2 linked regions of the Mus musculus genome follow. The protein of the gene in region 2 purifies or fractionates together with the protein of the main gene of each other region. This does not show direct contact. Links are inferred from orthologs where the notes say so. Each region holds a gene or a part of one and is shown on either strand. Other genes may lie near its edges. The genes, in order: Pfdn1 and Pfdn2.

Region 1 (3,809 bases), on a different chromosome or scaffold from region 2:
AGAAAACTTCCAAAGGCATCACAAGATCTAAGCCATATCTTGAAGGATGAGAATTTCACAAGGGAAAGAGAAATGCTGAAGGCCAAAAATGGAGTAACCAAAGATCCCCCCACACAAACAAACAAACAAAAACCCCCACAAAACATGACATGAAAAAAAAAAAAAACCAAAGAAGCAAAAACCATGTGGCAAGGGTAAAAATGTGTGGTGCGTGTGCTGGGTCTCTTTCCCGCCCTCCATGACAGACATCACGAATCAGCCAAAACATATTTAAAAACCATATAAAGTCTCAAAATCCTCCTGAACAGATAAAACAAAAACAAGGACCACGGGATGAGATGTCTGTGCTACTCTAAATCTACGAGCAGGAAGCTGCAGGACCTGAGGCTGGATGGGTCAATTAAAAACGAAGTATCTGACCATGAGTGTGAGGCTAACAAGAGTAGATTTTCCCTTATAAGGACTGAGGATAATAAGCAAAGGGTCTGTGAGGGATGATTGGTTCTGGCATGGTGAAGAATGGATGTGAGCAGGCCTGGGAGTAGAAAGAACAAGTGAGCAAAAATTCAGGCTAGGCTGGGCTACATGAAACCTATTCTACCAAAAAAAAAAAAAAAAGAGGAATGTTGCTAATTGTGGGTCAAAAGAAAAGTAGAAAAATCTACTGCAGACTCGAAAACAAAACAGGGTTTTGGATTTTAAAATCTTGTTTCAAAATATAAACTATGGGGTAAAGTCACATGGTCAGAATTCTCACGTAGTACTTAAAAGGGAAGGGAAAGGCTGGAATAACAATGAGACTCCTCCAGATTACTCAAGACCATAAACTCAGAAGGAGGCATTCCAGGGTTAGCATCTAGAGAGGCAACATCCTCATGACCAGACTGGCACTCAGCAAGTCTCTCCAGCCCCGCGGCACCAATCCTCTGTCTGGCCAAGTGACAGAAGCATTTCACCTCACATGCCCTACAATGCAGGGCAAGCTCACGCTGAACCAAGTGCAGAACTCAAAGCTCCTTTTAAAACCAAGGCTCATCCAAAACTCTAAAACTGCACATTTCTCTTAAGAAACATAATTTATATAAAATAATACCATTCTACCATTAAGTACCCATATGTAAGCCTTTAAACTCTGTAATACTTTGCATGAACTACAATCTACTTGTAGAATTTTGGACAATATGAAAAAAGAAAACTAACTCCCACAACTTATGCACAATGCTTACTAAATGTCATTATTCTAAAGAAATATAAAACTTTAGGGATGGGGGTGCAGCTTAGTGGCTGAAGACTTGTCTGGCATGCTCAAAGCCCTAGGTTTGATTCTTAAAATCAAACATAAAACAATTAAAATTTAAAACTTTTTGAAAATTGAGAACATTATTTTCAATGAAGTACACAGAGTAACCCTAGCCCTTGGAAGATGGAAGGTCAGATGGGCAAGGTCTCTGAGAAGCTAGCAGGAAGCTAGCCTGGGCCACGTGAATCCCCATCTCATAAATCAACAAAGCGTTGGGGGTCAGGGGGAGCGCTACATATAATCCCAGCACTCAGGACGCAGAGGCAGGTGGTGGTTCCCTTTGAGTTCAAGGCCAGCTTGGAAAAAACAAACAAATCAATCACAAACAAAAACTTTATAACTTTAGCTATTATAAACAAAGGCTAAAGTAATGGTGTGAATTCCAAGTAATAGGCTGGCATCACTGTTTTAAGACCCAAGGATACTCAAATTAAGGGATGAAAATTACCCTGCAGTGAATGCCAACATTTCCTGCTACGTGACACACAATCAAGGGTTCTACTTGGTTCCCATTCTGTTCTGTACCATTAACAACCTCACAAACTGGAGCTAATACTGAACAGCACCTGTAATCCCCGCCCTTGGTGACGTGAGGCAGGAGGACAGAAGTTCAGTCACCCTCTGCTACACAGAGTTGGAGGCCAGACTGAGAAACAGAACATCTCAAAATTAAAAACAAGAACTCACAAAAGGGGCTCTCGTTCTCTTAAAATAAGACCAAATGAAAAACATGTGAACTGAAGAGAAAATATCTGCGGTTCCAACCTTTACCATCACTCCTCAGCAGAAAGAATAAATTAGTCACGGGAAGGGTCACCTTGTCATGATGTCATTCTAAAGTCATTACAGAACTCTACACATGTTATGCTTCCTCCCAGTCAATCACAAAAGAAGTCATCCCAAGACGGAGGTCAAATTCCATTCTAACTAAAAGCTCTCCAAACTTAAAGGCCCACCTAGTCCATAACATCCAAAGGCCAAACACAGAGCCCCTCCCCTCCACCTTAAAGACAATCAGCTCTTCCCCATTAGCTAACTGAAATGGAATGTGGCCCGTACACAAGGGCTTTCCCAGTCTTCATGTTCTCAGAAAACATAAAGACGACTTGATCTCTCTCATGAGAAGAATATGTTTTTGATAGAAAGAATGTAACGTGAGTGGTTAATTATGTCAACAAACAGGGCTTTTCAGCCCCTTCCCTGCTCACTAGCCCATGCCCACTCTCAGGAGTGCTCTTCCTTTCTCAATAACCTGTCTCTATTTCCACTCCTTTAGAATGCTTTAAAATAAAGCATTAATAGATTATATTGATAATTAGTACAAAGCATAAATTAGTGGGCATCTGCACTCACTCACAAAGACCAACACACAGCCATACCATGCATACATAGTCAATGAAAAATATTTTTGAAAGGGGAGTGGCTGGAGAGAGCTTTCAGCAGTTAAAGATTCTAGCTGCTCCTGCAGAAAGAGGACCCAAGTGCAGTTGCCAGCACCGATATCACGAGGCTCAGAAGCACCTACGTCTGGGCCCAAGAGATCTAACATTTCCATGGGCATGGGCATGGGCATGGGCAGGGTGGGGTGGGGTGGGCAGGGAAGTCTCAGGCACAGGCACACATACCCATGCCCCGACAGAGAGTGAGAGAGAGTGAAAAACATAAAATTTTAAAACACACACCTGGGGTTTTATGCCTTTTTTTTTTTTAAAGATAGCTTTTGCAAGTTATTTCTCTATTTTAACCCAAGTTTTCTTTTTTAAGTAACCCAATTTGAAAATAAACCATTCTGCCATTTAATTCCCCTGAAGCCTCTCCTAAGAGAGCCCCGTGAAGGGTGCGCTGATTTACTCACATTCTTCCTACACCTTCGTACATGTTAGTCTCATCTACCAGCGTCATGATCTCCGTGTCCGTAAGGTGTGCGTGCTTTTTCGTTCTGTTCAGCTGTTCAATCTGTATGTCTGCAAGCTTCACCTTCTGTTGAGTATCGATAACTTTGGCTTGAAGCTCTGTGAAGGCCTGAGAAAAACAAGTGCTTGATTTAGGAAATTAAACTTTCAAGTCAAATTTAGATTTGTTAAAACAGATCATGCTAACTTGACAAAGCTGTAAGATTTACCAAGATAAGCATAGATAAAAGTCAACAGAATGATCACACTATGCAAATTCTAAATGTACCCTATTCATTGACCCTATCCATAGACCGCATGACCAATATGAACACAAAAACAAATGTGCATTAAAAAAAAAAAAAGCCATATTTATCAAGTAGCCAGAGAGTAATAAAAGGGATAAATAAAATACTCAGGAGATAAACCCAGAGACCCAAAGCAGGAAACAACGTACTACATCTGCATTGCATAACTAGAATCCAAAACACCCACGTTATTTCAAAATCCTGGCTGTAGAGCCAGACCTGGTGTCTCCCACCTATAATCCTAACAACTGGGAGTCAGAAGCAGGAGATTCAGGAGTTGTTTGGGACTCAGATTTGTAAGATATTCGA
Region 2 (4,460 bases):
AAGAACAGAAAATAAAACAAGCACCTAGTACGAAGTATTACCTGCTCCTATTTTCCTTGTGAGAGACACACTAGGCTAACACACACATCAGTAATAAACCTTAAATTGGGCTGGGAAGAAAATTTCACAGGTAAAGAGCCAAAGAACCAGGGTTTGAGCCCCAGAACACACTTTTTAAGAAGGAAGAGGAGGAGGAGGAGGAGAAAAAAGAAGAGGAGGAGGAAGAGGAGGAGGAGGAGGAGGAGGAGGAGGGAAAAAAAAGGCAGGCAGGCAGGCAGGCATGGTACTGAGGCATGAACTGCCTGGCACTGGAATGCTAGTGAACTTAAATTCTGAGGCTTGTTTTCCCAGTGCTGAGGAAAGGGAGGATCAATGGACTCTCTGGTCAGCCATCCTAGCCTACCTGGTGAGTTCTAGGCCACGTGAAAAACCCTGTGTCAAAGAACAAAGTTGACTGTATCTCTTTAGGTCTTGCAATATATCTCTTTAAATTCTCCAGCATTTTCAATGCCAAGCAGTTCATGGCTCAATGCTTTTGAACACACTACTTCTAACGAAAAAAAATCTTCACATGACTAACTTTTCCCAGCCTTTAGAATTAAGCCAAAAAATCTAGAAAATAAAAGGAAATTAGCATTTAGAAAGACTGTTCAGATTATGTGCGTGCAAGTGTGTCTGTCTGTGCGAGATCAGGTGCTCGAGTGCAGAGGCCATCTCTCCAGCTCTAAGTAGCATTTGTTAAACACACTATGTAGTCTCTGTATTTAGTCATGGTGGAAAAAAACAAAACAAAACAAAACCCAAATGGATTTTCTTGCCTAGTACTCTAGTTACGAAATGGAAAACTACTGTGCTTTTACAGATAGACGAGGGTAAAAGGTAACAAGAGAAATCATATATAAATAAGAAATACAAAGCAAGCACAGGTCATTCTGATTCTAGGCCAGGAAACCCTCCCAACCATTCCACTACCCGCCATTCCCTTGCCTACTTACCTGCCACATCCGAAATCTACACTACTTTGGACTCTCTCTCCAAACTGTGCAAGAAAAGTTCATTATGTGCAGAAGTTTGTAGTGTAGGGTTGGAGAAATGGCTCGGTGGAAGAACGATTACTTTTATAGCGGAGGACCTGGGTTTGGTTCTCAGCACCCTCATGGTAGCTAATAGGCAGTTATCAGAGGTTTTGACCACTCTTCTGGTCTCTGAGGGCTCCTGCACACATGTGGTATATGCACATACACATGCAAACACACATAAAGTCTCATTGTTTTGTTTTTGAGACTGTGTTTTACTCTGTAACCCAGGCTAGCCTGGAACTGACAGGGTAATCCAGGGGGATTATGGGTATGGGCCACCACACTTGGCTGTGACCAAGTTTAAGACAAGGTCTATTTCATTTACCTGTTCCTCTGGGTTAAGCAAAGCCAAACACAAGACGGACTCTCCAAAGCATTAGCATTTTTTCCTTCCCACTATGTCAGAGGCTACACCCTCTTCCATCTCCAGAATTCCCCTGCACTTCAGTTCTCCCTGAACACTTACTTTCTAACTCTTTGACAGTGTGGGTTTTAGACTCTTTATGCTGATGCTTTTACCTGTAGGAATTGTTCAACAACCAACTGACAAATGTACCTATGATTAAAATTACTCTTCTGGGGCTGGTGAGATGGCTCAGCTGTTAAGAGCACCGACTGCTCTTCCAAAGTTCAAATCCCAGCAACCACATGGTGGCTCACAACCATCCGTAATGAGATCGGACTCCATCTTCTGGAGTGTCTGAAGACAGCTACAGTGTACTCACACATGAAAGAAAGAAAGAAAGAAAGAAAGAAAGAAAGAAAGAAAGAAAGAAAGAAAGAGAGAGAGAGAGAGAGAGAGAGAGAGAGAGAGAGAGAGAGAGAGAGAGAGAAAGAGAGAAAGAGAGAAAGAGAAAGAGAGAGGGGGTGGGGGGTGGGTTCTGCCCTCTTCCGAAGTCAATCTTTGCAAAGAGAGCACACCGAGCAAGCTCGAGGCCAGCGTAGGCCACTTAGTAAGACCGTGTCTCAAAGACGAAATAATCCGAGCCTTTAATCGCAGTATGTGGGAGGCAGAGGCAAGCGGATCTTCCAGGCCAGTTTGGTCTACAAAGTGAATTCCGGAAAAGCCAAGGCCGGACCCGACCCTATAGCAACCCTCATCCCCACCTCCAAGACAAAACAAACAAACAAACAAACCACAGACTCCTTAGTCAAAATAATTTACGGAACACTAAACTGCTCAGAGTCTGAGTCACGTGGCTCTGCAGCGTGTTGGTGATGGTGAACACGGTTTTTGAGCCATGAACTACATAAGCCACTCACTGACTAAGAACAGCTTGGAATTCGTTACTAGATGCCACGCCAAACACCATACGCTCTTTAGGGTACCTCGGAGAGGGGGCAAACTACGATCCATCTTCTCAGAGACCTGGCCAACCCTCCCAGACCCTGCAGCTCAGGGCTTTCTCCCTTGACTACCCACCCACACCGCGGGCGTGCCTCTCCCCTACCTACCCAGGCTCTAGAAAGGTTCGTGATCACCTCCAGAGACCCCCTCTCCCCCGTGCGTGCCCATGGAGACCGTGGAAAGGACTAAAGGCCCCTTCGAGCCACAAATCTTATCTTCTACACGAATTCGACACCGCCCCGGGTGCCTTGTGCGCTCGCGGCTCCTCACCTGTTCCGCCGACACCGCCCCCTTCCCCGCGCCGCTCCCGCCGCTCTTGCCCACACGACCGCTGCTGTCCGCCATCTTCCCCACCTGCAAGCTTTCCGGCCTGCGCACTCTCACTGCGTCACATCCGGCCGGGGGGTTACCGCCCACTTGCTCCTGCGCTCCTGGCTCCTGGCAGCTCTTGAGATCCGACCCCGTGAATGGTTTTGGCTGTGTCTTCATGTAGGACCTACTCCCAAACCCTGCCCGCTGCGGTGAATTCCACCTGCGATGCTTTAACTTGTGCAACAGAGATTCTTGCCCGGGGGGGAGAGGCGGGGAAGGACGCGCTAATCAGAGGGCGGGGGCTCGGGTTGGGATCTGGTCCTGTACCCATCTACCCACCATGAGATGGTGGAGATCTAGGGAGGGTGAACTTTCCTTCTGAGATTCGGGTATAAGGGGAAAGATACGTGTTGAGTCTATAAAGCTGTGCAGGTGGCACAGCCGAGAAGAGAATTGGGGAAACGAGGAAGGTTCCATGAGATGACTTGAACTGCGGAAACGTTTGGCAAAGGAAAAAGGGCTTCAGTTTTAATGTGAGATCACTGGAAGTTGAGGTATTAAGGCACCGATCATAGTCGCCTCTCCCATTTTCCCATTTTATATCTTTTCCTAGCTACTAGTAGTAAAAAGTATTTTCGAAGCCTTGGGGGAGGGGATTACTGGCCAGGCCTGGAAATGGCAGAGAATTCTAGAAACTTACGGCTTGAAAGAGGGTTAGGTGTCCTGATTTCTCACCTTCTTCAGGCTGGGCTTCATCACCAGGCCTCCTCACCAACTCCTGTGTACCGGATACCGATTACTTCGAACCCCAGTACTTTGTACTCAGCCCAGGTAACATATTTCGTAATGTTCTCTCTCTGGCGCATAGCTGCTTAGTTCGTGTTTATTAACTTCATAGTGGGAGACAAAGATATCTCCAAACATGTAATGAGTGAACTCCAGTAGCTCTAGGGTTATTATGCTCTGTAAGAATGAAAACAAGTTGCTGGGGTCACCTGTAATGCCAGCACTCGAAAAAAAGGAGGATCAACCAGGAGTTTAAGGTCATCCCCAGTTACATAGAAAGGCCTGTCTGGGCTACAAAAGACCGTGTCTCAAAAAAGAAAAAAGTCAAAAGAAAATAAAGTTTCTGGCTCCACCCCCACTTGAGCCTCTGAGTTTCTCCTAGATAGAAAATCTGAGGATACTGCCTGTGTCATTCACAGGCCCAGAACCATGTCCTCATCAACTTCCTGGGAGCTGCCCCTGGTGGCTGTGTGCCAGGTAACATCAACACCAAACAAGCAAGAGAACTTTAAAACATGTGCTGAGTTGGTTCAAGAGGCTGCCAGACTGGGTGCTTGCCTGGCCTTTCTGCCTGAGGCATTTGACTTTATTGCACGAAACCCTGCCGAGACATTACTCCTGTCCGAACCACTGAATGGGGATCTTTTGGGCCAATATAGCCAGCTTGCCAGGTACAAGGGTAGGGTTTGGGGGGGGGGGGGTTGTGTGTGTAGAACTCCCTGTTGAGCAGTGTTCCTGGATTGCCACAGAGGGGGTAGAGTTGTGTGTGTCGTGTCCCCCCCCCCCCCCAGGGAATGTGGAATCTGGCTGTCCTTGGGCGGTTTCCACGAGCGTGGCCAAGACTGGGAGCAGAATCAGAAAATCTACAATTGTCATGTGCTTTTGAACAGCAAGGGTGAGACGTCATAGCCCTTAGTTTGCCTCTTCCCAGGCTT

The links.
Region 1: the proteins of Pfdn2 (region 2) and Pfdn1 purify together in Homo sapiens (affinity purification with mass spectrometry; 5 studies listed by BioGRID and IntAct, counting the BioPlex papers as one, with this or other methods). This does not show direct contact. The link is inferred for Mus musculus from reciprocal best matches to the Homo sapiens genes PFDN2 and PFDN1.

What each region holds. Positions count from the first base shown.
Region 1 is NC_000084.6:36,447,925-36,451,733, forward strand, and holds part of Pfdn1 (prefoldin subunit 1), read right to left. Parts: intron 3,323-3,809; coding exon 3,156-3,322; intron 1-3,155. UniProt on the Homo sapiens protein: Binds specifically to cytosolic chaperonin (c-CPN) and transfers target proteins to it. Binds to nascent polypeptide chain and promotes folding in an environment in which there are many competing pathways for nonnative proteins.
Region 2 is NC_000067.6:171,344,024-171,348,483, reverse strand, and holds the start of Pfdn2 (prefoldin subunit 2), read right to left. Parts: upstream 2,810-4,460; 5' UTR 2,773-2,809; coding exon 2,698-2,772; intron 1-2,697. Other genes in the region: Nit1 (deaminated glutathione amidase), read left to right, coding at 2,915-2,916, 3,484-3,570, 3,945-4,196, 4,317-4,420. UniProt on the Homo sapiens protein: Binds specifically to cytosolic chaperonin (c-CPN) and transfers target proteins to it. Binds to nascent polypeptide chain and promotes folding in an environment in which there are many competing pathways for nonnative proteins.